Oryzias latipes: one gene and its partners. The protein of the gene in region 2 interacts with the protein of the main gene of each other region in a biochemical or structural test. Links are inferred from orthologs where the notes say so. Each region holds a gene or a part of one and is shown on either strand. Other genes may lie near its edges.

The links.
Region 1: of the proteins of interleukin-1 receptor-associated kinase 1 (region 2) and E3 ubiquitin-protein ligase pellino homolog 1, one has a biochemical effect on the other in vitro, tested with the Homo sapiens proteins (5 studies listed by BioGRID and IntAct, with this or other methods). The link is inferred for Oryzias latipes from reciprocal best matches to the Homo sapiens genes IRAK1 and PELI1.
Region 3: of the proteins of interleukin-1 receptor-associated kinase 1 (region 2) and irak4, one has a biochemical effect on the other in vitro, tested with the Homo sapiens proteins (2 studies listed by BioGRID). The link is inferred for Oryzias latipes from reciprocal best matches to the Homo sapiens genes IRAK1 and IRAK4.

Annotation. Positions count from the first base shown.
Region 1 is NC_019873.2:11,839,178-11,843,504, reverse strand, and holds the start of E3 ubiquitin-protein ligase pellino homolog 1, read right to left. Parts: upstream 2,859-4,327; 5' UTR 2,498-2,858; intron 1-2,497. UniProt on the Homo sapiens protein: E3 ubiquitin ligase catalyzing the covalent attachment of ubiquitin moieties onto substrate proteins. Involved in the TLR and IL-1 signaling pathways via interaction with the complex containing IRAK kinases and TRAF6.
Region 2 is NC_019865.2:30,220,045-30,223,662, forward strand, and holds the end of interleukin-1 receptor-associated kinase 1, read left to right. Parts: intron 1-507; coding exon 508-580; intron 581-648; coding exon 649-743; intron 744-814; coding exon 815-1,523; intron 1,524-1,711; coding exon 1,712-1,785; 3' UTR 1,786-3,617; downstream 3,618-3,618.
Region 3 is NC_019864.2:12,581,585-12,585,993, forward strand, and holds the start of irak4 (interleukin-1 receptor-associated kinase 4), read right to left. Parts: upstream 2,885-4,409; 5' UTR 2,701-2,884; coding exon 2,540-2,700; intron 2,253-2,539; coding exon 2,107-2,252; intron 1,969-2,106; coding exon 1,822-1,968; intron 725-1,821; coding exon 564-724; intron 485-563; coding exon 420-484; intron 348-419; coding exon 233-347; intron 144-232; coding exon 34-143; intron 1-33.

The DNA of each region.
Region 1 (4,327 bases), on a different chromosome or scaffold from region 2:
TTCCATTTTTTTTTGGTATTACCTGTTGAATAAAACCCACTCTGTGCGTGGTGGAGATGTAGGAAGAGGAAAGGAATAAGACTGACCAAAAGAGTTTGAAAGAATCTGAACTGACGTCAGGAAAATCTGGTTTTTTAGGCTCCAAACTAAAACTGAAAAAACTTTTGAAGCCTGAAGCAACGTTACGGAAAGTTAGTGGTGGTTTTGAGCACCCCCCCCCCCCCCCCCTTAAATTCCCTATATTGCAGAAACAAGGCCATAAAAACGTGCCCACCATCTGACCCACTTTCCATGACACAAGTAATCTCCTGTACAAACTTCAGCCTGTTTACTGGCCCAGCAAACAGTAAAGCTGGTCAGGGAGCCCAAGCTCCTCAAAGCTGCAGCTCAGCCTGCAGACGCTGACACCCGCCGGGCTGTCCCTGCCAACCCTACGGCGCGGCCACGTGTATGGATTTACTGCAAACACGCCAAGCCCTCTCCCGTGATGTTTTCATCTGAGGGCTCTGAAAGGACGCAGACGGATGCTCCTGGTTTGATTATTTCCTGTGATGAAAGGAGGTTTCGCACACTTAGCTCAGTCCTCACAGCCTCCCTGCCACTCAGTATGTCTCACGTTGTCATGGTAACCCAAAGAGATGCTTTTGACTACCTTAACATGTGTTTACATAAATGTATGTTAGGAGGCAGCTTATTGGGTGGCAGAGATGTGAGGTACTGCAACTAAAGCTGGAAAATGTAACATTATTTTCCTTAAATTGAACAAGGAGGAACATTTATGAAGTCTCCTTGAAATGGTTCTCAAACATGAGGAACTTTTAGAACATTACTCGAACCTGCAGAAACATAACCAATTTTTTTTTGTCGAGAAAACACACCCTGAAGTGTGCACACGGCGTGAGCAACACCTGCTCTTCCCAGTTACACAACCACCGCCATGGGACGACTTCACAAGTGGAGCTTTTGGGCGTGGGAACTCTGAGGAGTCTGCACAATACTCCCACCACCTTCTGCCCACACAGCTGATAAGTGCTTCATCGTCTCATCACGCGAGTGTGGATCAAACACTGACCCCGAAACCTTTTTAGCTTTTTCCTGCGACACGTTTTGATTTGCTTACAAAAGTCAAACCCTGACAACAAAAATACAGGCGCAAATGTCGCCTCTCAACCTGGATTCTGAGCACCTCAGCAGGTTGTACTTTCATGCTGATGAAGATGAACATACAGAGATAAAGAGGCTTTAAACAGCACACATCATCTACCAGTTATCAACGACTAGTTTAGGGGTCTGCAACCTGAGGATCTGGAGCTGCATCTGGCTCTATAACCCCTCCATTGTGCATCCTTGGTTAAAGAAAAATAAAAAGGTTTTCATTTTAACAAATAACTTATTCAATTCATTCACAAATGGGTGAAAGACAAAACTGCACAAGTTAAACCAAAACATTTTGTCATATTTTTCTGCACTGCGTACGACAGAAAATTAATTGGAGGCCAGTAATTACAACCAGAATCAAGGTACAGGATTATAAGACAGATTTTGTATTTTTGAACAAATTTAAGGGTTTTTTAGTTTGCCTTATGGTTCAAAAAATATGGTGAGACTCATTTAATTAGCTCTGATTTAATTTTAGTTTTTTTACATTTAAACATTTCTGTCTGACATGCACCACAAACAGTAAAATAAAATGGGTTAATTTTTTTTCACTGCTGACTTGGGACGTTTTTTTTAAAGGAACCTCTTATTTTGACTTTTTTCTCTTTATGTGTATTTATGGCAAAAAGCAAAGTATTTTATTTCTATTTTTCTAGTGACAATAATTTGAATAAAAATCTGTGTCTCATTTTTCTAAAGACTTTGAGACTCTTGCTGGGTTGTCATTGAGAAATCAACCTGAATGGTTCTTTAAGGGTTGAAGGTTGCAGACCCCTGGATTGGTTAGTAATGCATGGAGGCAGCCAGATCTGTCTGTCCCTTTAAGTTCTTTAAGCCTGCTGGTTCAAATTCTGAGGTCACACCCTAATCCACAGCCACTTAACCGTGAAGTCCTGCAGGAAAATCTTCAGGGGTCTTCATATTTGCTACCAGCTCTTGAACTTAGAGGAGAAAGTGAAAGAGGTGAAGGTGTGTAGGTCGTAATGACAGGAGTCCGTGTCTTATTCCCTCGTGACAGGTCAGGATGGATGATGGTGGAGGTGGTAGCGGTGGGGAGGAATACCTGCAGCTTTTAAAGCAGCAGAGCATCAGACTGACATCAGCTTTTATGCCCACGGATGGATCTCCCGGCTGCGACGACAAGCAGGTGCACGCGGCCGTGCGGCAACATCTGACACAAACATCTGCTGCTCCGCGCGGCTCGGCCGGTAACGAGGCCGCCTGAAATCCGCTGACAGGACAAAGCGGCTGACCCTCACTGACGGAGGGGCACGGCGTGCCGATGAGAGCGCCCCATCATGGAAGCAGAGGGGCTGGGAGGCTGCGAACGTAAACTCACCGCGGTACAGATGCTCGTTTCGGTCCCCGCGCGCCCGTGGCTCCTGATGATCCAGCAGCTACTCCAACTGCTGCGGCAGCTAGCTAAACGTCCCGCCGGCGCACACACGCACGCAGACACACACAAAAAGAATTCCCGTTAATTCCCAAAACCGTATCCCGGGACTAAAAAAAATAAAATTCAAAAATAAGGAGGCCACGTGAAGGCCTGGCGTATAGAAAAGCAGACACAAGATCCAAAGGCTCGCGGGGAGATAAAATAAAACGTTGTTTTAAGTCACGGAGTCTCCCTCCGCGCGCGAGGCGCTCCTTTGTTGTGAGCATCTCAACGTAAACACTAGCAGAGGGGGCACGAGCAACGAGGTGACGTAGAGCACGCCGGGAGTTGGAGTGTCGATTCCAATGTCCATCATTTGCCTACAAATGCATTTAAAAACTATCGGATAAGTCAAACTTTTCTTTGTATTTCGTAAAAATACTGGGCATAATTGAGTTGTGTTCGTGACCTAACATAATTTTTGATTTAGAGAACTCCCATCACTTTTACAGATTTTGAGCTCCATGTTGTTGATAAATTACGATGTCAAACCCATGTTATTTTGTTAAATTTTATGTTCATCATCATTTCGACACCCGACCATTGCTGTTGAAAATATTTCGAGGATAAAAAAAATAAAAAGATAAAGTAACTGACGTGTTTTATGAAAATACATCTGTGGTTACAGTAACATTTCATTGTGTTATTTATTTCTAGTCGAGACAACCGATTGTCCAAAATCCGAGTTTAGTGTCACCACGCGAATGCAACACACACAAACGCACTACTGGGCAGTTGAGAGTGTTTTAGATCGAGTGCATGAAGAACTAAACTTAAACTTTTCTATAATTATCGTTTTAGGCCTAAAACTAATTCAAAATTGAAACAAAAAAGAATAAATAAAATAAAATTTGAAAAAATTTGAGATTACAAATAATCAATACCTATGTCAATACTAAATCAAAAGCTCCATACAGGCAAGGCTTTAATCAGTTTTGAAGCTAATATTGTTATATACTATTCCAAAAGCACAATTAACACTATTAGCTATGACAAATTTAAAGATTTAACCACTTCTTGTAGTGCTCTTATTTTGTAAAAATTATTTGTAAAACGCTACATTTAGCAGTTCAGATAAAACCAAAACAGACTGATACAACATTGAAAAGAAATGTTCCAATTATAATCAAATTGTTATGAATAAGTGAAAAAAACGTACTGTGTTTAAAAATCATTCAATTCAATCATCTGTGTATAAACTGCGAATGAACAGCCATAGCAGGTTCTTAAATGCCTTCAAAGGTCAGATTAGTAAAATACTTTTAAAAAAAGTCGATATTTGTTGTGTGTTCGAAACTGAGCCTTCAGAAACATAAAGTTTTCTGCTGCTTGATATTTAAAAAAAAACATCTGTTGGTCTCTGCTGCACCACCTAAATCACAGATCAATGAGACTTCTCGTCTGCTGCACCTGGATAAAAAACTGTGGGACTGGTGGCGTGCACGACACCTCTGTGCTTCCCAAACAGCTCACATACTGGCAGTGTTTGCAAGCTCAATCTGGACAGATCTCCCTGAAGTGAAACGGGCTGTCTGTGTTGCGTCCATTTTTATCTCCATCTCCAGAGTGCTGCATGCGCTCCTCCTGCACGTGCGCTGCAGTTCACAAGGAACTTTGTTTTGGCAACCGCAGCTCTGTGGCAGTGCAAAATGTCAGATGTTTACAGAAACGAACAGACTTCTTTTATGAGTGAGGAGATTTTTAATTTTAATATCACACTTGCCAACATTTGTT
Region 2 (3,618 bases):
TTTTTCTTACCGAGGTCTATTTTCATTTTTATTACATAATTGCCGGCATGAAACTCATTGAGATGAATATTGTTGTAAATATTGGACTATATAAATAAAATTGAATTGAATATGCTAACGCAGGCTAACGTGTAGCGGCTAACGTGTTGTTTGTGTCACTAACAAGGTTAGGATTTGGCATCGTCACAGTAACGTTTGTTTCAGTGGGATTGGTCTGTTTTAATGAGTTTCAAACAAGGTTGGGAGTTACAGGCTTTGTGAATACGCTAATCCAGCTAACGTAGCTAACATTCTAGTTTTCTTGATAAATCTCCTCGATCATGAGAAAAATGCCACATGAACATGTTCAAAACACCAGAAACCTCATTTTCATGGGAGTGGGTCTTTAAGCTCTTGTTCACTCCATTTTTGGGTGGCCCTGTCGACTGTCCCGGTTGTGAACCGGTGCTTTCTTTTAATGCCGGTATATATAAAGGGGCCTGAGTCTGTCTCTGGTTCTGAGTGCAGAAAGACCTGGTGGTGGAGGTGGAGGAAGGCCCAGCGGCGTGGCGGCGGCAGCTGGACAGACGTCTGGTGACAGGTCAGCACAGGACTAGAGGAGGCTGAACGGGTTTGTGTTCCTTTGTGACGCGGTGGGTGTGTCTGCAGGGGGGGCGGCTGAGCCTGTGGGCTTCCAGGAGGTGGTGGCTCTAGCATGCAGGTGTCTGAACCAGCAGAGGAAGAGGAGGCCCCCCATGACTGAGGTCAGGCTGCTCTAGATGGCTCCATCTCTGCTGCCTTTCTCTGCTCCTCACCTGAGCTCTTCTCCTCGCAGGGGTTTGACTGTCTAAAGAGGGTCCACAACATGGTGAGGAAGGCTGCCCCCTCCTCCTCCTCCTCCCAGCCTGATCCTCATCTCCGCCCCCCCTGCTCTCCAGATCATGTGGATGTTCTTACCTATCAGCTGTCCCAACTAGGTCCACTGGAGCACAGTTACCCCCCCTCCTCATCCTCCTCCTCATCCTCCTCTTCATCCTTTTCTCCTCACCCGCTGCACTCCTCCTCCCTGCCCCCCCTCTCCTCCATTGCTGGCCCATGTGAGACTGATGAAAGTCGGGGTTTTTCCCAGTACGACCTCCGTCCCCAATCCAGATGTGACTGCAGGTCCCAGTCGCCATCCAGCACAAACCCAGCCCCCCCCTCCAGCCAACCCCCTCCCCCCATCAAACACAAGCCCCCCTTCCAGATCAGCAGCACAGGTGACTGTCCAGGGCCCAGCACCCCCACGAGGTCCTCCTCAGGACCCGACAGTGGAGTGGTGCCAGCGGGCCTTGAGGGGTTTTCTCCTGTGGGCTCCCTGCATGCTCCTCCCCTCGGACCCTCAAATGGGTCAGCAGCAGGTGCTCAGATGTGGGAGGCAAAGTCTGAATGCTCCTCTGCTTCAGTCCTCATGAACTCCAGCAAGCGCCGCCTCCTGGAGAAAACCCAACAGTACATGGAGGGCCAGATCCGGACGCCTGAGCTGCTGTCGTCTCAAAACCTCTGTAAGTACCATCCAGCTCAAGTTTGTTGCCATGGAAACTTCCCATCCTGCATGTGTGGGTTCTGCCAGCTCAGTTCTGGTGGTACCACCCGCTGTTTCCTCCGTCCTGCAGGTTCTTTCAGACTTTTGCATTGGAGTTGTTTTGGGTTTTTCTCTAACGGACTCTGTCTCTGCTCTGTGTTGACTCAGATGAAGCATGTGGTTCTGCAGACCCTGGAGAACCAGAGGAGAGTGATGAGCTGGACTACCTTCAGCACAGCTGACCGCTTCCTGCTGTGGCTGTGGGCTTAAGGTCCACAGGCGGTGCCGAGCTGTGACTGGACTGTGAGGCGCTCTAGACCAATGGGACCTTCAGGAACCCGTGACAGAATCTTCTGACTCAGGCTTCAGAACCTCCAGATTTTTTTCTCCATCAGTTCTGCTGCATCTTGGAGCAGAACTGAAGTCGGCCTGTGGTCACATGACGAAGAACTGAACCAGGACATGGAACCCGCCTTGTACCATTTTTGGACCAATGCAGAACAGCTGGGGTTTGTTTCCAGAGAGAAGCATTCAGAAGCCTTTGGTTGTAATGGTCTTGGTGTCTCATCAAAACTTAACGATTGAGTTGCAGATGAAGCAGAACTGGACAGGTTGGTACTGGACTGAAGCTTCAGCTGCTCAGATTTTGGCTGTTTGTCTTCTGTCCATCCAGACTGGAAGAGATCTGGATGGACATTTTCCTGGACTTACCAAGACTGTGGAAGTGCTGACTGCTTCTCCCTCAGGCTCAGCTCCTTCAGGCGTCTGGTTCTGTGTCGGAAAGTAGAACTGGATCGGGACATGTAAAGGGTGAAAAAACAGGCGCCCCTCAAAGTCCAAACAGCATTCTTTCCTCCAGAGCACGAATTCTAAACAACTACACCCCTGCCTGAACCGTTCCAAAGGTACTTTCCATATTTGGATGTTTCAACTGATCCTGCGTTCACGCCGGACGCAATTCGTGCATCAAATTGACCCGCTGATCACATCATGAGTCCCAAGGCTGAGTCCCTGATTGATTTACTCAAAATTCTTTGCCAAAGTTTGGATATTTGAACTCTAGAAACATCACGACGTGATGAAATGGCTGAAATGCGTTGCTGGCAGACCGCCGTGCCGCTGATCACGTGTGTATATTGACAACTGGACGCCCCTAATGCACGAATCATGTTCAGGGAAAACAAAGGTTAAAGATGGAACAGCAAAGAGAAGAACCCCCCCATCATATGTTGTTAAGATCAAAAACAGAATAGGATTGGGATTTTTAACATTTTTCCCCGGAAGGTTTGTCCTTGACTCCCATTAACAAACACGGGGGGGGGGGGTGACCTTGAATCATGGAGCTCTGCATGGCAACCAGAAACAGGGAGTCCTATCACATTTGTTGTAATGTTAACAGTACAAAAGTGGATTAACCTCAATGACCAAAGAAAAAGATGTCCTTCAGCTTCTGAAAAATGTACATTTTAAAGCAAAAAGGAAGAAAGTGTTGATCAAAGTCTCTAAAGCAGCCAGCCTCTTTATTGTTTTTTTTTAATTTGTCAATTCAAATTTTAGAGTACGGGCACGATCCAGTGTGTTCATATTCTGGCTCCAGGTCAAAGGAAATGCAGAGGGTCGTGTCAGGACGGACATCCAACTACAAATCAAAGCCTCATGAATCGTGGGAATCACAGACGGATCTTTCACAACAGACCAGTTGTTGGTCGGGGTAGCAACAACCACCACCACTGCTGTTGATCTACAGGGTGTTTTCTAATCGTGCTGCAGCTGTGCCTTCTTGTTCCCCCTCCTTAGAGCTCAGCGCATATGTAAATAAGGGAAACCCACAAACTTAATAAAAGGGGAGGCGACAGGAGTATGCAGCAGAGCGGAGAGAGATTGTAACTGAATATTCTTCTCTGTTCGTTCTCATTAAAGGTACCTTTGTCTGTTTGTCTTTCTCCTTCCTTTTTGAATAGTTCAGATGTTGCAGGTTGTTTTAACCCAACATTAATTTGTGCCCCACAAAGCCTTGGCACATTTAAAAAAGGCTTAAAAACTTTCCTTTTTGAATAAAGCTTTTTAGTACTTCT
Region 3 (4,409 bases), on a different chromosome or scaffold from region 2:
ATTAATAGTGTTGAGCCCCTTGGATCTACCAACCTTTTGACGTCTCTGTGGACATGATGGTTGGAGTGAAGATACTCCAGTCCTCTAGCTGCCCCTTCGGATATGAAGCACCTCAGCTGCCAGGACAGAGGGGGGCTTCCATCCTGCACGAGCAATCATACCACTGATTTTGATGATGGACAGCTCGGCCTTTACGTATCTAGATGTATGTTAAGTGTTGCATGCTGCTCACCAAACAAGCAAGTCGATCCAGCAAAGATCCGTTTGCCATTAAGGCATACACTATGCACAGATGCTGCTCATCAGAGGAAAATCCAACCATATCAACCAGGTTTTGGTGTTTTAGCCTGAGGAACCGGGTAATAAGACTTTTGTGTTTACTGGTATTAATCCTCTGGCTAAAAGTATATCAAACTTACACTTTCAAAGTTTGAATCTCTTGGTTAAATTGAAGTTGTAAACTTTCCAGCGGCATGTCCTCCATCTAAACGAGACAATATTTTAGAGCTTCGCAGACAGTATCTGCAACGTTTTAAAGAATGTGTTTAAACGATCCCACGTACTGGACTGAGTTTTTTTACTGCGACTAGTCTGCTGTCTAGCAAACCTTTGTAGACTGTCCCGAAGCCTCCCGCACCAATACGACTGCCGCCGTCTGAGATGGACCGGTCATCGAAGTTCCTGGTGATCCTCATAAGCTCTCCGTACAGGAATCTGGAGACACCTAAAGCACGAGTGGTTAAAAAAAAAAAATCAGTGCTGCCATCTGCTGGTCAGATATGCAAACTTGTATTTAGTCATAGGTCTTTTTTTTTTTAAATCAGCTCAATTCCCTTTATACATTCAGAGCTACATATTAGGGACTGCAAGCAATTCTATAATTATTGAAGGAATAAATCGGAATGCATTAAGGGTTTAAACAAAGATCTAGTTTAAGCCTCTACAGCAGTCAATTTCCAAGAGGTAAAATGTTCTGTTGGTTTTTCAAGGATTCTTGTTGGTGCAGAGCAGCCCCACTCCCCTTCCCATCACCCATAACTGAGAGCTGTTTACATAATCTCCCACTAGCTTACAGTCCCTTACACCCCCACTTAACATTAGTGGTGCAACAAAAACAGCGAGCAATAACAGAGCCATCCAGCAGTGCAGTTTAGAGCTAGATGCCAGCTCAGATGAGGAAAACGAAGACAGACATGGGTCTATTTGTCTACAAGTGGATAAACAGAAGAGCAGGGAGTGTGTGGCCTGTCATTGTAAGTTCTACATAACAATTTTTCCAACAGCATTGTTTTTGTCTGCTCCTGATTCACAGTGATTTGAATAAAGACATACCGGTACTCAGAAATGCAATTTTAAGCCCAATATGCGTTATACATGTCCTCCATCAGAAAAATGCCACAAGAATATGTTAAAAACATGGTTTTCCTTGGAGTGGGTCTTTAAGATTTGAACATAGAGTTATAGTTAGATACAGAATCTTTCAGGAAGCCAGTTTAAAATAAATATTTTGTATAGTTGAGCTAAACTGCCATCACCCACTCTTCTACTTACTGTTTCTTAGCCCTGTTATCACTTTAAAATATCTCAATATTTTGCACTGACCTATTTAAATTATTGTTATTATTGTTAATTTTACAAGCTGTGGGTTAAGAGGAAAGAAATTTCATCTGTGCTGTATATCTTGTGTATACAGTATATTTGACAATAAAGCTGACTTGACTAAAATGTGTTCCTAATAATCCATAAGTAATCACACATATCATATAAAACATATCTGACCGAAGATGATGAAATAAGGTTTAGAGAAAACTTTGCACCCACCTGTGTCGTCTCCTCCATCATCCAGCAGTGTTTGTGTCTGCAGGGAGGAGCCAGCAGGTGGATTTGGGGCCTCACCCAGCAGTAAGGTTGGAGGACATTTTTCTGCCTTCACTGAGGATACCTGCTGTGTTTCTTTGGATAGAACCTCTTTGTTGTTCATGTGCAGCACAAATACAAAAAGGAAAAGAACAAGTCATGCCATTTGTGGTCTATTTGTCATAATAAAAACAATAACTCATCCTTTAGCCTGGAGTAGAAAAGAACAAAAACTGTTATTGATCTCACCAGGTAATAGCAGATTGGCAGCAGCCAGGAGGTTTAGACTCCTCAGGATGTCCACCAGTTCCCCCACTGTGCTGTTGGTGGTCCCCCAGTCATTGAGCAGCTCCACGGTGACGCTTTTACCCTGAGCAACAAGACCTTCAAATCTCCTGAAGCAAACAGCGACAAATTAAAAGGATATTAATGTTATTCACAAACGTATAAGGATGGCGCATCACCAATTATTCAAATTGTATTTTTCACAAATGTCTATATTTTCTGAGTTTTAAAAAAAATGCAGCATACTTTATAATTTCACAGATAAAAAGGGAGCAAAAGGGATTGTTATTAGTATATTTAGATAACCATAATATTTGGCACAATGAAAATTTAATTAAGTGCACTCTGTCGCCTTCCTTGTATTCAAACCTCCCCCCCAAACAGTTTTTTTTCTCACCTTACATGATGCTGAGTGTACCTGGGCTCCCCATTCGGCTTCCGTAGGGCCACAATCAGGTCTCTCCAGGTCTCGTAAGGGTCCAGACAGTCGGACAGCTTGCGGCGCAAACTGTAGCTGATGTTGCGAACGTACGTGGCGGAAGTCACCGAGCTGTCCATCCTACGACACGTTCCAAACAAAAGTTCGACTTTTTTCGACAAATTACATGGTAAGCAAACAAGCAACGCTTGATTACGTTCAAAGAAACTCGGGACTAAACGTAAACAGAAATGGTTAGTTTGTTTTCGACTCGGTAAAATGGGGTTTCCGACGTTGAGCAACTTCCTTAAAACGTAATAAAGAGGGGCTGGTCTACTAATCCGCCACCGCCTCTTTTTTTGAATTTTTAAAAAACATTTTGTGTGGTTTTAATAAATACAAGTTCTGACTTTGCTAATGTCCCAGGTACCTTCTGTTCAGAGGTTTTCAAAAACCCCTGAAGCACCCAAAGAAGCCTTTAGTTGTTGTTAGTGTTACACTACTAACATGTTAGCAACATGTTAGTAGTGTAACACTGCCATCTAGTGGACATACCACTCATTTCATGAAAAAAAGTTCTTTTTAGGAATCTTTATTTAAAACAAAAATGACAATCAGTAAGGAACAGAGCAATCAACTGCATCGATTTCTTTTTAAAGATAAAGTTTAAAAAACACAAAAATAAAAGTAAAATTATGTTAATCTATAAATCTGAGAAAGAGGATTTTGATAATAGTTTTTTTGTTTTGGATAATGTAGAGGTTAAATGATATCTCATTTGGGCAAATGATTAAAAGAAATTTGGAGTTTTATTACTTACTTTGGTTTAGTAAATATAATGTTTTGTTAGAAAGATCATAAGATTAATCAAATACAATTGTGACAATGGCTTATTTGTTCATCATCAGTAAACCCAAACTGAATGCTTTTCCATTTCAAAAAGAAATGGGGTTACATTTGAGTTGACTTGACAATTTGCTCCAAACTGATTTATTATACTTACAGGTCAAACATATATGTATTTATGTTCCTTCAAATGTTTTACAAAACATAAATCTCTTTTTAACCTATATGCATGTATTGATTTGTTGGATAAAATCTATGTAATATTTTAAATGACACCTCTTGAACTCACAAGAAATGTTTCAGCAAACGCTTTGCTTTCTCCCAACAAATCTGTCCAAGAAGTTCAGTCCAGAGAGCTACTGCTGGAGATGAAGTTCAGAGCTCATGCTGGAACATTCTTCGGATTACTTTATTTTGAAAAAATTCCCCAAAGTAAATAGATAAAAACAACACAAATATATAGATCATTTTTCTTGAAAGATTTAATGTATTGGTTCCACTAACCTTCGTATGCATGAATCATGGAAGTAATTGATATCATGAACCATAACTTTTAAAAAAAAACGATAATAATCATGAAACAACACAGATGTCCCCTGCAGTGAATTACAGCTTCATTAGACTTAGTGTAAAACAATATTAACTTAATGTGAGAATTATTTCAGTTGTGATGTGTAATTATTTCATTCACCTTTTTCTGCTTATCTGGAGCCAGGTCATGGGGGTCCAGATCTTCTTCTTCATAGAAACTTCCTCTAGTTCTGTTGGGGGACCTCAAGGTGGTCCCAGACCAGTTTAGAGACATAGTTCCTCAACTCTTTCTTAGTCGGCTGAAATATCTTCCCAGGGAAGCATCCAAAAGGGATGTCCGCGTCTACTCTGCAGAACCCCTGCTGTTCCACAATCAGAACAAAAACCACACTCCTCCCCCTGAATCAGAGATTCGACTAACGACCAAATTCTCCCCTTTAGTACCCTGCAGTAGACTGTCATGGGAAGGCTT